Saccharomyces cerevisiae S288C: one gene and its partner. The protein of the gene in region 1 interacts with the protein of each later gene in a biochemical or structural test. Each region holds a gene or a part of one and is shown in the gene's direction. Other genes may lie near its edges.

Region 1 (7,803 bases):
CTATTAGCAGCACAAATAGTAGATTCCATGACATTGTTTGTTCTTTTCATGTTAGGAGACAAAGATATCTTCTTTGGAGGCATAATGAAGTTTTTTTTAGGAAGGCGGAAGTATATATACAATGACACTACCTTTGTTGATAGCTACGAATTTCCTAAAGAGAAAGTATATTGTAGTATTTATATGAGTTGCATAGTACGTTATTCAAGGATAAAATGCCGAATAAATGCTTTAGATGATTTAAAATTCTGTATCGGATGGTTTTAATTAAAAAGTTTCGTTGGAGGTTTTCACCTCATTTTTGAAAAATAAAAATTCAGACCAAAACATTAATTATTTTGGCTTTGAATATACTGACCTCCTGGAAAGCCCTTGGACATTACTAAAATTGAGACAACTGTTTCGATTCCAGCTTAGAACTCCACAGAGCTTCACATGTTTTACACCTCTATTTATATATTCTGACAGTTTCCTTATGCCTTTCCAGTTTAAGGATGAGCGAATGAAAAATGCTTTTAATAAAGAGGTACTTGATGGACCCTGAAAGTTTAAGGAGGCAGATAATGAATGTATATAAATGTTACATGTGGAAGAGAGCGTTCCACAGTAATAGAAGCCTACTGGAAGTTAAACGTCGTGAAAAGAGTCTCCAGAGAAAAATTTTGGAAAGGATTCTTAGACCCAAGGAGGAAAATGCTGTCAAAAAATCTGGATTCAAGCTATGGTCAAGCCATTTGAATAACCCACACAAAACTTATATGCGGCTGGAGGAATTACAGAGACGTATTATGGAAGAGGTACACGTTGAAGGTATTAAAAAGAATGATAAGTTATTCAACGAAATAAATCAATGGCATTTCCAAAATGAAAACACAAGTACTGTTCGAACACCAACATTGCTGATACATGGCTATGCCGCATCTTCAATGTCTTTTTTCAGAAATTATCCAGGTCTGTCCAAGCACATCCGAAATTTATACTCAATTGACATGCCAGCGAGCGGATTGTCTTCAGTACCGTCTTTAGAGATCAATACAACAACACCTCTGCCGTTAGATATCAAATTTATTGGAGAAAATAAATTTAAGGTTCCATATACAATAAATGCAAATCACAATAAATTTGTGATTCAAATGTACGAAGATTTCTATCTCGACAGAATCGAGCAATGGCGCATTGATAACAAATTGGGCAAAATGAATGTTGTGGGGCATTCTTTTGGCGGATATTTATCTTTTAAATATGCTGTTAAATATCCAAACTCGGTAAACAAACTTTGCTTGGTATCCCCACTAGGAGTGGAAAGGAATATCTGGTCTGTAAATAATAATTTCCACTCCAACACTCTTTATACTATCGATTTTAAAAATCCAAATTCCAAGTTTTACTCCAAAAGAAATATGATTCCAAAATACTTATTTGAACAACAATTTCACATTTTGAGAATGATGGGACCATTAGGAGCTAAGTTATGTTGGAATTACATAATGGCGGCATATAGCCGAGTCCCATCGTTGGCATACAAAGAGTACATATTTGAACTGTTTTACGGTAAGGGAGGTATACCGGAGGTTACGACAGATATTTTCAAAGCGTTATTTTCAAGATGTATCCTAGCAAAGGACCCCTTGATGGATTCTCTGCAATATTTAAATGTTAAGAAATTATTGATAGTATATGGGCAATATGATTGGATGAATAAAAAAGCCGGTATGTTCATGGTCAAAGAGTTGAACAATTTAAAGAACTGTCTAGAAGGAGCAAGTTATTTAGAAATACCTTCTTCCGGTCACAATCTTTTTTTAGATAACCCAGAATCATTCAACCAATCTATAGTGTCCTTCTTATCAGACGAAACTAAATCGCCTTGATAGCAACCAAATCAAGTAGCAAAGAGCCAAAAAATGTGTTAATGTATGCTATCCCCCTTTTTGCTTTTGCGCTCCTCACACCTCTTTTCTTTGCTTTGAAATTTTTCTCAAATAAAATCTTTACAATCATCGCTACTAGTTAATTCATCCAATTTAGTGAGGAATAACGGATCAAATTCCACTAAATTTTCTAATCGAGATATGCTATTCGAATAATCCTCCGATACAGGGTCTTTCGGATATTCCCTGGGGAAATACTCTGTGTCACTTTCTTTTGAAGGAAGGATCATCGAGGGTGAAGAATCGCTTCCACTTGACTGTTGTAACAAATCTTTTTCTACCTTAACCATTTTATTTACATCAAATCGACGACTATGGTATGATTTTTTCTGTTTTTGGGCTAGGTCATTTAAATCATCAAGTGATATGGTCTTCTGCTTGAAATCTTTGTTGCACAAGCATTTCGCAATTTCGAAAACATTTTTCATGATTACTTTCTTCACAGTTTCTTTCTTAAAAATGGTCATTGCGGCGGTCACTCCTGTAAGCTCGTCCAAAATCTCAAGGCTGAAGGGAGATTGCGGTAGAACATTCATAATTATCGTGCACATCAATTTCAGTCGATCCGCTTTCTGGAGGTGGTCCGGCTCTTTATGTTCTACATCTTTTGGCCACCATTCCGGCCTTCCAGCATTGCCTTTAATGTATGGAAACCTGGTTTTCTTCCTTGGCTCAATAATTTTTATCCACAACTTAGCAATCGCCTTGCATGGGACCTGTCTTAATAATTTAAAAGCCGTATACAGATAATTCTGTATTAGTAGGGGTTGATCTAAGGGTAGCATGATCGCTGGTTGGATATTTTCTTCATAAACAGTTATTCTTTTCCTATTTACCAATGGATCGAACGTGAGTGGAGGGTTTTTTTCAATTGAAGATGATATAAAACTCTCTGAGAACAAGTTTTTTGGAATTGACTCACTTATTAAATGGTCTTTTTCCTTTATGAACACCATAAACTCATATCCTTGACCATTTAGCAGCGCCAGCGCCCTTCTAAGCTCTTCCATACCTATACGCATGTACTTAAGCTGACTCTATCGAAAAATGACGTACGCACAAATGCACATGTATACATACGCAATCCATCCTTTATATAAGCTGAGAAACAAGCAGAGGAACCTGCTTCAGTTGGGCCATCCCTTCGATGCTATATACTTCTAATCTTAAACTCTTCACTAAGACTTCGCAGGCACCGCTTCAAGGATGTCTCAGGTCGCGAGATTACTACAACAACTTAAAACAACCCTGATGCAACTGCAGCGTGCTGTTTTTCAACAGTACAAGAAAAAGTTCCATATTGTGCCATTGCCGATGCCATTGCAAAGGAATTTGTTCTCAGTCGCATCTCTCCTTTACTGCAGATCTGAGTTACTTTGAATCCTTGATAATATGGATCGAGTGCCTCTTCCATTATTTCTATTATTATAATCTCAACGCTTAATATGAATTAACCAACCACACTCAAACCAAATCTACGCCAGCTACAAATGGTAGGAGAATGAAGACACACCAGGACTCAAACAGGATTTCCCAACAATGTCTTTCAACATGCTGCTTGCCGGTCACTACTGCACTTCCTGCGCCTTTTCCGTTGAATCACCCTCCATAGTGCGGCAGATGGAACCAACCTAACCTTTTTTCAGCAGGAGGTAAAAAATTCGCCGGTTTTCTATCTCCCTCCGTCATCGGCAGGGCGTTGACACCTGTCCAAGTACAACACACATGTGAATTTTTTTCAGTGATTAAAGGCTCATCTCATCATATCTTATTGTAATCAGTATTTGGCGTCATAAGCAATTCGAAATTGGTTCGGTTCCATCTCGTTGACGTGCAATAAATAAATACATGGAACAGCAAAGGAGAAAATGCAACAAGCAACTGGGAACGAATTACTGGGTATCCTAGATCTGGATAACGATATAGACTTTGAAACTGCTTACCAAATGCTCAGCAGTAACTTCGACGACCAAATGTCTGCGCACATACATGAAAACACGTTTAGTGCAACTTCCCCTCCTCTGTTAACACACGAGCTCGGCATAATTCCTAACGTAGCAACCGTGCAACCCTCTCACGTAGAAACTATACCTGCCGATAACCAAACTCATCATGCTCCTTTGCATACTCATGCACACTATCTAAATCACAACCCTCATCAACCAAGCATGGGTTTTGATCAAGCGCTTGGTCTCAAGTTGTCTCCTTCCAGTTCGGGGTTGTTGAGCACGAATGAATCGAATGCCATTGAACAGTTTTTAGACAATCTAATATCACAGGATATGATGTCTTCCAACGCTTCCATGAACTCCGAATCACATCTACATATAAGATCACCAAAAAAGCAGCATAGGTATACCGAATTAAATCAAAGATATCCTGAAACACATCCACACAGTAACACAGGGGAGTTACCCACAAACACAGCAGATGTGCCAACTGAGTTCACCACGAGGGAAGGACCTCATCAGCCTATCGGCAATGACCACTACAACCCGCCACCGTTTTCAGTACCTGAGATACGAATCCCAGACTCTGATATTCCAGCCAATATCGAGGACGACCCTGTGAAGGTACGGAAATGGAAACACGTTCAAATGGAGAAGATACGAAGAATAAACACCAAAGAAGCCTTTGAAAGGCTCATTAAATCAGTAAGGACCCCACCGAAGGAAAACGGGAAAAGAATTCCCAAGCATATTCTTTTAACTTGTGTAATGAACGATATCAAGTCCATTAGAAGCGCAAATGAAGCACTACAGCACATACTGGATGATTCCTGAGCTCATACAAGCTATTAGTGATGAAAATGGCCTCCCGTTGGATGTATTTTTAGTTAATTTCGTATACATGGGCGAAAATATCATATGATTGCAAAGCTGGTCATGTAAATATATTCATTATAAACCAGACGGTAGAAAATCTCGTTTCTTTCCAGAGTGTAGCGTAGATTTTTGCGGACAAGAATTACCAGTATCTTCATTTTATTTAGAAGTTAAGAGAATCCGGAGGCAATGATGGTGAAGTAAAGAAATCTTTCAACGGCGAAGTATAATCTGTCTTCACAAACAGAATAACTGCGTACAAACTCGCAGTTATATGACCGTTACGAGTTGTATTGATTCAGTGAAGTAATAGTCCTATTACATCCATATGAATCCTGTCCTGGTAAACGGTGCAATGATCGCTCTACGTATACAAATTCTCTCCATCAATCGATGATGAACTGCTTTACACATAAAGTACGTGCCATTTATTTATAAATAATACCAATTAAGGGACGAAAATATTAACTGCTGAGTGTCTGCTTAGGTCCATTCTATTTCTTCTTTCCAAAAGAGAATAAAAAGAATCTATATATATATATAAATTTCTATCGAACGGATATTCTTGTTTTCGAATATCAAAAATGTAAGCTGTGGTTTCTCAGGGAACGTGTTACTTACAACTTTAGTTCTTTTAATATACTAGAAGCCAGCTCTTTATACAACCAAGTGTTCCCAGAAATTTTCTTAAAATGCACACCGGCTAAACCAACAATACGAACCTTGACGATATGAATTTCGAATTTGATGGGCTCTTTTTCTGTTGTAGTCATGCCTTCGCTACCGTCACCTTGTTGGTGGATGTTCTCCAAAGATGTTCCCGAATGCTTATCATCTCCATAGGTTTCGGTAATAGATGTTTTTCTCTGGTGAATGGAATTAGTTGTCAAAGGAGAAGAAGGTGAGTATTTATTAGAGCCTTGACGTCTAATGGATTCGTGGTGCGAAAGTGGCATGATCGATCTTGGAGTCCCTTCTCTCTTCGCTGCCACATTATTGGAAGAGAACCTTTGCATACAAACAAAACCACCCTTAACCTCCTTGAACTCTATATTCATTTTCCTCAGAACAAACATAATCTTGTATCTAACAATTGGCAAAGGCTTCGATGAAGTTGTCTGAACAGAAAAGAAACCCTTCAAAAATAAAGAACGGGGGAAATCGATGGATGGCATAGAACCGGCTGGAGCTCTAGAAGCTTCCTGCAATATCTCTTCATCTGTTAATTCCTTCTCCACAGATGGCGAGTTTATGTGTGCGTTCACAGAATGCACGCTGACGCTATCATTCGTCTGTGAAGTAACATTTCCCAAACTATCGGATTTGTTATCGTCACTTGATTCTAAGAACCCAGTATCTATAAGCTCTTGCTGAGGATAGGCAGATGAAGGCATTGGGGGTCTCATATATTTGAGTGATTCACGACGAGCATGACCAACTGATTTAGCTCTTGCGCTTGGATGTAGTTTTCGACCTTTTGCAACATTGAGAGGTGGTAAGGGATGATTCTCGTCGTCGTCGCTTCCTTCAAACTTCTGTGCAGCGTAAGCTTCCCGCCCGCTTCCTTTTGCAACTTCATTATTCTGTTTATTAATATCATGCAATTTCATTATATCTTCTTCAATTTGCTTCTCCCTTTGCTTCTCTACCATATTTTCTGCATCCGCAGGCAATGCTGGAAAGTCACCTTTATTGCCACCTCTGCTATCGTTTGTCTTGACAGGCTCATTCATGGTATAATTTGAATCATAACTCGGTTTAGCAAAACCAGGGACAAAGTCTGAAACAGCGCGAGAATGCGTCTTTTGCACAGGTTTATTGATACTATTATTACTATTAACAGATGTCTGTTCAATGGTCTTTTTACGGCGCTGTGATAATTTTCTAAATATATTCCCAAACTTCGCCTTTTCTGAGGGATCGCCAGTAGTTGAAGGTACCCTAAATTGTTGATAGTCATTTCCCTGAGGAGTTGGAGAGAGAGCATATTCCATTTCACGGCGTTGATTATCAGAACTTTTTCTACTCGTTGGTGACGTATGCGCTTGTTCTGGCATTGCTAACCTCGGTGGAATTAAGACATGTAAGGGGGGCTCTGTGCCATCGCTATTCTTTGGAGTGAATGGCACAGAGGTATCTTTTGTCGCCAACGTGGCTTCTGGCTCTGATTTCATAGCGGTTGTATTGACCTCTACGTCCCTTTGCTTCACACTTTCCGGTATTTCAGAAAGCTTTTCTATATTTTCGTGGCTCTGTCGCTGTTGTTGATTCCGAATTTTCGCATGTTTCCTATCAAGCATCTCAGAAGTCAAGTAATATATGGAAATCATTGGATGATATGCCCGAGTTGGGTCTTCAAAACTCTCTGTTATGTTTGGCGCGTTTCCGTTATCACTGGATTCTGCGTTCATTTTGGCCGCTAAAGTCCAGTATTGTCTAGAGAGAAGAACGTAAGTAGGATCTGTGATTATACTGACCAAAACACTTCTTGTTTCCTCTACATCGTCAATAAATTCTAAACGGTACATTTCTTTTAAGACATTTATATCAAGCATTTCGATAGTTAGGGGAACTCTTTTCGGTAAGTAAGAAGGAGGGGGACCATTGAACCCTCTTACCATCCAGTGGTGCTCCACAACCTGTTTAAGTGTGGCTCTTCTTTTCGGATCTACTACCAACATTTTGGATAACAGTGATATTACTTCGATAGATAAATGTTGGGGATATTCAACCTTACCTTGCTTGATCTTTTCATGTAAAACGCTCGAATTTTCGTCGTCAAATGGCACTTTACCGCATACCAAAACAAATAAAACTACACCAAATGACCAGACATCTACTTCAGGTCCTGTATAAGGATTCGCTTTTAACAGCTCGGGAGCGGCAAAATACAGAGAGCCACAGAATGTATGAAGCTGCTTCCTAGAATCATAAATATTTGAAAGTCCAAAATCAATTATCTTGATTTCACTGGAATCTGAAATCATTATATTTTCTATCTTCAAATCTCTATGGACGATGTTGTTAGCATGCAAATATATTAAGGC
Region 2 (8,382 bases), on another chromosome or scaffold:
TAATTGATGCGAGCACGCTAGTAAATATGATGTACTTGTAGGTCTCCAGAAGAATGCGAAAATGACGAAGACCAAGAAGTAAACGAAACTAGGCCAAGTATCTGTGATGAGGAATTCTGTTTTCCAATATTGTTCTATCATGTCAACAGTGTCCATACCGACGTATGCAAAAGTAGAGACTAGTAAGCCTAAGAAGAGTATAAACAACGAAATATAACACAATATGATCAGTTTTCTGTACATGTTTAATTTCACCACTTGGTTTTGTTCCCTCAAATAAGTCATTGTTTTGTTCATTGAAGACAGTGTCAAATAATAGAAAGCGAATAGACATAATACTAAGGGGATAGCAGTAATCAAAATCAAATTGGATAAAGACTCAGAATTCTGGGAATATTTTTGGACCAGGAATGCAACGCACACTGCAAACGTAAATATCGCAAATATTTGACATCTTCTTAGCAATGTACGGTCCAGTTTTGGATATACTATACCATATCCAAGAGATATCAGCAAGGCGAGGAGAAGCGTGAAAGTCATCTTACCGGCGCTAAAGATCGATATGAAAACCATATAGACATGAAGAGCGACGCTGGAGTTTCCCTTCTGGTTCTCAATAATATAGTACATCCAGACGAAAATAGTATCAGCTGTTAGGAAAATACAAAATACCAAAATGTACCTTTGTAAAGGCAGTAACTCATGTCTATGCTTCCAGCATAGCCAAGAGTACACTAATGTACAGACGGCATAAGCGACGGCCAAAAAGGCATAAATAGGCATCTTGTACGCCTCTGAAGCGTCCAATTGACCGTAAGCGTTCCTAAAATTCACTGTAGCCTTAAACTTGGAACTGGAAGAAATGAAAGATGACGTGGTCACACAATAGTAACCAGTTTTGTTAATTGAGTATACCTTGTCGTTAGTGCCCAATTCTTGTTGAGTGAAAGTCAAAATCTGACTCGTTAGCTTATGTTCCTTACTGGTGAACGGATCGATGGCTGTCTCTTGAATGATAAATTGCCCCTCCGACGAATCCTCACAGAGGCCCAAATCCAATGCGTAGTCATCGCAAATATACTGAATTTCTCCATTTGGTAACCGCACACCAATATGCTCATAATCTTGGAAATCAAACACAGCAACACTAACCCCCTCGCCATCATCGTCTTCATCAGCAAGTGACAATTCCTCCAACGTAAACGATATATAGGGGTCAACTTTTCCATTGAAATCCTCCTTGGAATACATCCCTGAACAGACATCGTGATATTTTTGATTTATGCTTTCTTGGTTCCCTTGAACTACCCCACAGAGTAGCAACAGCCACGTCAGTAATAGCCACGTTCTATCCATTTTTCTGTTCGCTAGTTATTGTGTCTAGTTTGCCCAAAAATGATTTACACAATACAGTTGAAATTTCAATACCTTTTTTTTCAATTTTCAGTTTTTCCATGTTGCAATGCGAGAATGGGTATGGGTAGCAAAAATTTCTAGTAGTAAAATCGATAGGAAAAAAAAAATGGAAAGAGCAATAGCCTTTTAGACCTGCCCTGCCTTATCAAGTTGTCATCTCATCGATGTAGGAATCTATTCTCTTGGCCATCCGGACGTCTATATCGCTAAGCTGGCTGTGAGCCCCGTCTTTCGGGTCTATGTCATGCGTATGAAGTTCCAGCTTGACCCAGGTGTAACTTGTGTGAATCAGGGGATGGTGGCCCCATAGATGAGATCTCATCGATACACGAGTCAAAAAGGCCCATGTGGTTTCGTAGTCCTTGAATGTTACCTCTCTTGTTATTCCCAAACATTTGGTCTTATTAGGGTCCCATTGAACTTCCCAACGGGTCAAGGGTTTTAGCTTCTCGAGTAGTTTGCCCCCTGTGAGTGCACTGGACGCGATTCTAACAATCTTGTTGTGCATTGTATTCTTACTTTGGTTTCTTTCTGCTTTTGGTAGGTTGTGTTTACTGTTTTATAACTGGAAGGGCTTAAATTCCAGATTGGAAAATTGAGAATGCCTTGGACAAAAAGCAAATAAAGGGACCCAAAAATAGTAAAGAGGAAATCAGGAAGGAAAGGCATGTCGTCAAGCCTTTTTATCCTGGATGAAAATCTGGAGCCATTGGTATCGAAGAATATTAGAGCACTACCGAATCTATCGTCGGTTCTTTCAAGTTTCAAACAATGTTATCATGACGGGTCGCCTCCAATTCTCTCCCAAAACGATTGGTTCTTTATACATTTGAAGAGAGACTTTCTGCATTTCGTTTCAGTGATACATACCACAGACAAACCAAATATAGACTTAATGACTATACTAGCCTTTTTGGAACAATTTTATCATCTTTTACAAAAATATTTTGAAATCGAGGTCTTAACTAAGAATGTCATACTGGACAACATCTTACTTGTCCTGGAGTTGATTGATGAATGTATAGACTTTGGTATCGTACAAGTGACGGATCCAAGTATCATCAAGGACTACATTCGTGTGAAGGTCAACGTACCAAGAGTTACAGTAGACAATGAGGAGTGGAGCCCTGGTGAAGAGAGCAGTAGTAGTAGCGGTAGCGATAGCGATAGCGAGTACAGCAATACTAATAAGAGGAAGGATAAGAAGAAGAAAAGGAAGAAGAAAAAGGGCACTAAAGGGAAAAGCGTGGGCAAAAGTAAATTAAAAAGTATAATGGTAAACAATAAAGAAAATAGGGGCATAAACGTGGTGGAAACTGTCAAGGAGACACTAAGGAACAAGAATGATACCGGTAAAGAAGCCGCTAATGACGAGCTCCCCAATGACGGTAATGATTTATACATCAATGGCGATATTGCGAAGACGATTATAATGCCCATATCATGGAGAACAAAGGGGATACATTACGCCAAAAACGAGTTCTTTCTTGATGTTATTGAACGTGTTCAGTACTTGATGGATTTTGAAAAAGGAGTGATTAGGAAAAATCTGATACATGGAGAGATTGTGTGCAGATGCTATTTATCAGGGATGCCCAAACTGAAAATATCCATAAACAAGATACTGAACAGGGACCCCCAGTTCATGTCGAATTCCAGCTTTCATCAGTGTGTTTCACTAGATTCCATAAACACTATTGAAAAAGATGAAGAAAAGAATAGTGACGATGATGCTGGTTTGCAGGCCGCCACAGATGCAAGAGAAATCGAATTTATACCGCCGGATGGCGAATTTGTTCTTTGCCAATACGAGTTGAAGAGACATGTAAAGGATGCGCCGATGGTGAGGTTGAAAGATTTTGAAATCAAACCTAAACTGAAGAAGTTTAAAATCCAAATTGTAACCAAAATTCAAACAAATTTTAAACCCACCAACTCAACGTCGAAGCTAAACGTGAGAATTCCCCTGACAAAAGTCTTCCAGGAATATAAAATAGACCTCAGCAAGCAAATTAGATTCAAGGCAAACATCGGCAAGGTCGTGTTTAACTTGAGTGACGATTTTCTCCTCTGGGAGATACAAACCATGAAGGGGCACCGAGAACATAGCACAAACAAGAGCTCACAGTACAACAGCGACGAAGATGATCCAAATACGTGTGCATCCATGGTGGCAGAGTTCCCCCTCTTCAACCAGGAAGAATATGACCGCCTGCAAGAAGAAATGAAAACCTCAATGAATCCGCCGCCCTTGCGCACGGGACCCAGGCTGGAAGAACTATATAGACAAGTGCACGACCAACAAACTTCCCACGTTACTCCTCGAGATAAGTTGGTCAACATTGATTTCGAGATTCCGTACTGTACATGCAGTGGCCTGAAAGTTGAGTACTTGAAGGTCGAAGAGCCACAATTGCAGTACCAGTCTTTCCCCTGGGTCAGATACAAGACCGTCAGCGACGAAGAGTACGCATATATTGTTTGACGCTTACGCAGACATCTCATAGATAGACAAATGGTACGTTCGTTTTAGTATATAGATGGCACCTTATAATCTTCATATGCAACCGGGTAAAATCGGGCGTTCTTATTTTTTTTTTTTCCACCTCAATGAGAGGGATTAATAAGAGGATTGGAGCAAGACAGCGATCTGCACTTAGCCAAGAAAGCATATCAGGCCAGAACGTGGCATTTTGTTTACAGTGCTGATTAAAGCGTGTGTATCAGGACAGTGTTTTTAACGAAGATACTAGTCATTGATGTCTGAAAATCAACGTTTAGGATTATCAGAGGAAGAGGTAGAAGCGGCTGAAGTACTTGGGGTGTTGAAACAATCATGCAGACAGAAGTCGCAGCCTTCAGAGGACGTCTCACAAGCTGACAAAATGCCGGCAAGTGAGTCGTCTACGACGCCGCTAAACATTTTGGATCGCGTAAGTAACAAAATTATCAGTAACGTAGTGACATTCTACGATGAAATAAACACCAACAAGAGGCCACTGAAATCAATAGGGAGGCTGCTAGACGATGACGATGACGAGCATGATGATTACGACTACAACGACGATGAGTTCTTCACCAACAAGAGACAGAAGCTGTCGCGGGCGATTGCCAAGGGGAAGGACAACTTGAAAGAGTACAAGCTGAACATGTCCATCGAGTCTAAGAAGAGGCTTGTAACGTGCTTGCATCTTTTAAAGCTGGCCAATAAGCAGCTTTCCGATAAAATCTCGTGTTTACAGGACCTTGTTGAAAAGGAGCAGGTGCATCCTTTGCACAAGCAAGATGGAAATGCTAGGACGACCACTGGAGCTGGCGAGGACGAGACATCGTCAGACGAAGACGACGACGATGAGGAGTTTTTTGATGCCTCAGAGCAGGTCAACGCCAGCGAGCAGTCTATTGTGGTGAAAATGGAGGTGGTCGGCACAGTCAAGAAAGTCTACTCGCTGATATCGAAGTTCACAGCAAATTCGCTGCCGGAGCCCGCAAGATCTCAGGTTCGGGAAAGTCTTCTAAACTTACCCACAAATTGGTTCGACAGCGTCCACAGTACATCACTGCCGCATCATGCTTCGTTTCATTATGCCAACTGTGAAGAACAAAAAGTGGAGCAACAGCAACAGCAACAGCAACAGCAGCAGCAGCAGCAACTTTTGCAGCAGCAACTCCTGCAACAGCAACAGCAAAAAAGGAACAAGGATGGCGACGACTCAGCCTCGCCGTCCTCCTCCGTAACTGCGAATGGGAAAGTACTCATTCTCGCCAAAGAATCCCTGGAAATGGTGAGAAATGTCATGGGCGTAGTCGACTCCACGTTGGGCAAGGCTGAAGAATGGGTGAAGCAGAAACAGGAGGTAAAAGAAATGATCAGGGAGCGTTTCTTGCAACAGCAGCAACAGTACAGGCAGCAACAGCAGAAGGATGGCAATTACGTAAAGCCCTCTCAGGACAACGTGGATAGCAAGGACTAACCGAGACAGATTGAGGTCTTTCATGCATTACCACCAGTAATAATATTATACGGAATAATATAGTTTATATAATATCCATAATCATAATCATAATCATAATCATAATCATAATCGTGATATTGTACCAGCCCCGCTTCTCCCCTTTTGAACTACCATTATTATCGGACCCTCTTTACCTTTGAATGGCTCAGTAAGGACCTTTGCGCAGCCGTAAGGGGGTCGGGAATACATTTCCGGGGTTGATCCTCGAGGAAAAGTGCTATCTATATAAGGAGAAGCCCTTCTAGATCCAAATATCAGGGGTAACTCTTCACAACTGGCCAGGAACATATTCCAAGTTAAAAAGAAAAAATAATTATTAGAAACCAATTACCAACACAAGATGCTAAGATCAAATTTATGCAGAGGATCTCGAATCCTTGCAAGACTGACCACTACACCAAGGACATACACATCTGCGGCGACAGCTGCGGCTGCGAATCGGGGACATATCATCAAAACATACTTCAATAGAGATTCTACGACAATTACGTTCTCCATGGAGGAGTCCAGCAAGCCGGTTTCCGTTTGCTTTAACAACGTTTTTCTTAGAGATGCCTCCCATAGTGCCAAGCTGGTGACCACGGGAGAACTGTATCATAACGAGAAATTGACCGCTCCTCAGGACATTCAAATTTCTGAGGACGGAAAATCTCTAGTGGTGAAATGGAAAGATGGCGGTCATCACCAGTTCCCTTTACAATTCTTTATCGACTATAAAGGTTCCAGTTTTGTTTCGCCAGCAACAAGAAAACAAGAATCCAGATATAGACCCCAGTTATGGAATAAGCGCATCCTGAAAGATAACGTCAAGGACTTACTTTCTGTGAGCTACAACGAGTTTATTGATCCTAAGGATGACTCCAAGCTTTTCCAAACGCTGGTCAACCTACAAAAGTTTGGTATCGCTTTCATTTCCGGTACTCCTTCATCCTCCTCTGAAGGCCTTACCATACAAAAGATCTGTGAAAGGATCGGACCCATAAGATCGACTGTACATGGTGAAGGTACATTTGACGTGAATGCATCCCAAGCGACAAGTGTTAATGCCCATTATGCCAATAAAGACTTGCCGCTACATACGGATTTACCATTTTTAGAAAATGTGCCAGGTTTCCAGATTCTACAATCTCTACCTGCTACAGAAGGGGAAGATCCCAATACTAGACCCATGAATTACTTCGTGGACGCATTTTATGCTACCCGTAATGTTAGAGAATCGGATTTTGAGGCTTATGAGGCTTTACAAATTGTTCCTGTAAATTATATATATGAAAACGGCGATAAGAGGTACTACCAATCCAAACCTTTAATCGAACATCACGACATTAACGAGGACAATACTCTTCTGGGTAATTATGAGGCCTTGATTAAATGCATTAACTACTCTCCACCATACCAAGCACCTTTCACTTTCGGAATTTATGATAAGCCCTCAGATCTAAATAATAATCTGGACTTGAATTTAATTACCACCCCAGCAAAACTAACAGAGAGATTTTTGTTTAAGTCTTTCATTAGGGGGTTGAACTTGTTCGAGAGTCATATCAATGACTTCAACAATCAATTTAGATTGCAGTTGCCCGAAAACTGTTGTGTTATCTTTAACAACAGGAGAATTTTGCATGCTAACTCTTTAACAAGCTCAAACCAGCAATGGTTAAAGGGTTGCTATTTCGATTCTGATACTTTCAAGAGTAAATTAAAGTTCTTGGAAGAGAAGTTTCCTCATGACAAATAACTTCATTTTTTCAGCATAGTTATGTGATTCTTTATATTTATTTATTTTCTCTCTGTGTAGTGACAATTTTTTTTTTAATGTTTCATGTTAAATATATTTATTTTAAGAAGCCGTCAGTTTCCTTTTGTTTCATTGAAATCAATAACTAAAATTAAAATTATAAAAGGAATAACGTAAAAGAAAGTCTACTACCCAAGGAAAATCTACTTTATTTAGTGATTATATCCAACTAAATATCATTCAAATAACCTCACATATTTGTCTTCACCCTTAAGATTTTACGATTTACTAAGTTCACCTTCTCATGGCTTTGGAGGGATTGCGGAAAAAATATAAAACAAGGCAGGAATTGGTCAAAGCACTCACTCCTAAAAGACGGTCCATTCACTTGAACTCCAATGGTCACTCCAACGGAACTCCCTGTTCAAACGCAGATGTTTTGGCTCATATTAAGCATTTCCTGTCATTGGCGGCTAATTCATTAGAGCAACATCAACAGCCTATTTCAATCGTCTTTCAAAACAAAAAAAAAAAAGGCGATACAAGCAGTCCTGACATTCACACAACATTGGACTTCCCTTTGAATGGCCCGCATCTATGCACTCATCAGTTCAAGTTGAAAAGATGCGCAATCCTTTTAAACTTATTGAAAGTCGTTATGGAAAAATTACCGCTAGGTAAAAACACTACAGTGAGAGATATCTTCTACTCCAACGTGGAATTGTTTCAAAGACAAGCAAACGTAGTCCAGTGGCTGGACGTTATACGCTTTAATTTCAAGCTCTCTCCAAGAAAATCCTTAAACATTATACCAGCTCAAAAGGGTTTAGTTTATTCGCCTTTCCCCATTGATATTTATGACAATATTCTGACATGTGAAAATGAACCAAAGATGCAAAAGCAAACAATTTTCCCTGGTAAGCCCTGTCTAATTCCATTTTTCCAAGATGATGCGGTCATCAAGTTAGGGACAACAAGTATGTGTAATATTGTAATAGTGGAAAAAGAAGCTGTCTTCACCAAATTAGTAAATAATTATCACAAGTTGAGTACAAATACCATGCTCATTACAGGTAAGGGATTTCCAGATTTCTTGACAAGGTTATTCCTAAAAAAACTAGAACAATATTGCTCCAAATTGATATCGGACTGTTCTATATTTACCGATGCGGACCCCTATGGGATTAGCATAGCCCTAAATTATACTCACTC

Evidence for each region. The genes of interacting proteins can lie anywhere in the genome.
Region 2: the proteins of INO2 (region 1) and OPI1 form a complex in vitro, tested with the Saccharomyces cerevisiae proteins (2 studies listed by BioGRID).

The regions. Positions count from the first base shown.
Region 1 is NC_001136.10:695,465-703,267, reverse strand, and holds INO2 (Ino2p), read left to right. Parts: upstream 1-3,799; coding exon 3,800-4,714; downstream 4,715-7,803. Other genes in the region: palmitoyltransferase SWF1, read right to left, coding at 1-34; ECM18 (alpha/beta hydrolase family protein), read left to right, coding at 510-1,871; YDR124W (uncharacterized protein), read right to left, coding at 1,979-2,953; serine/threonine protein kinase KIN1, read right to left, coding at 5,374-7,803. UniProt on the Saccharomyces cerevisiae protein: Positive regulatory factor required for depression of the coregulated phospholipid biosynthetic enzymes. Also involved in the expression of ITR1.
Region 2 is NC_001140.6:63,250-71,631, reverse strand, and holds OPI1 (transcriptional regulator OPI1), read left to right. Parts: upstream 1-4,175; coding exon 4,176-5,390; downstream 5,391-8,382. Other genes in the region: YHL017W (uncharacterized protein), read right to left, coding at 1-1,356; MCO14 (4a-hydroxytetrahydrobiopterin dehydratase), read right to left, coding at 1,562-1,924; APM2 (Apm2p), read left to right, coding at 2,084-3,901; AIM17 (Aim17p), read left to right, coding at 5,773-7,170; SPO11 (DNA topoisomerase (ATP-hydrolyzing)), read left to right, coding at 7,475-8,382. UniProt on the Saccharomyces cerevisiae protein: Negative regulator of the transcriptional complex INO2-INO4 in response to phospholipid precursor availability.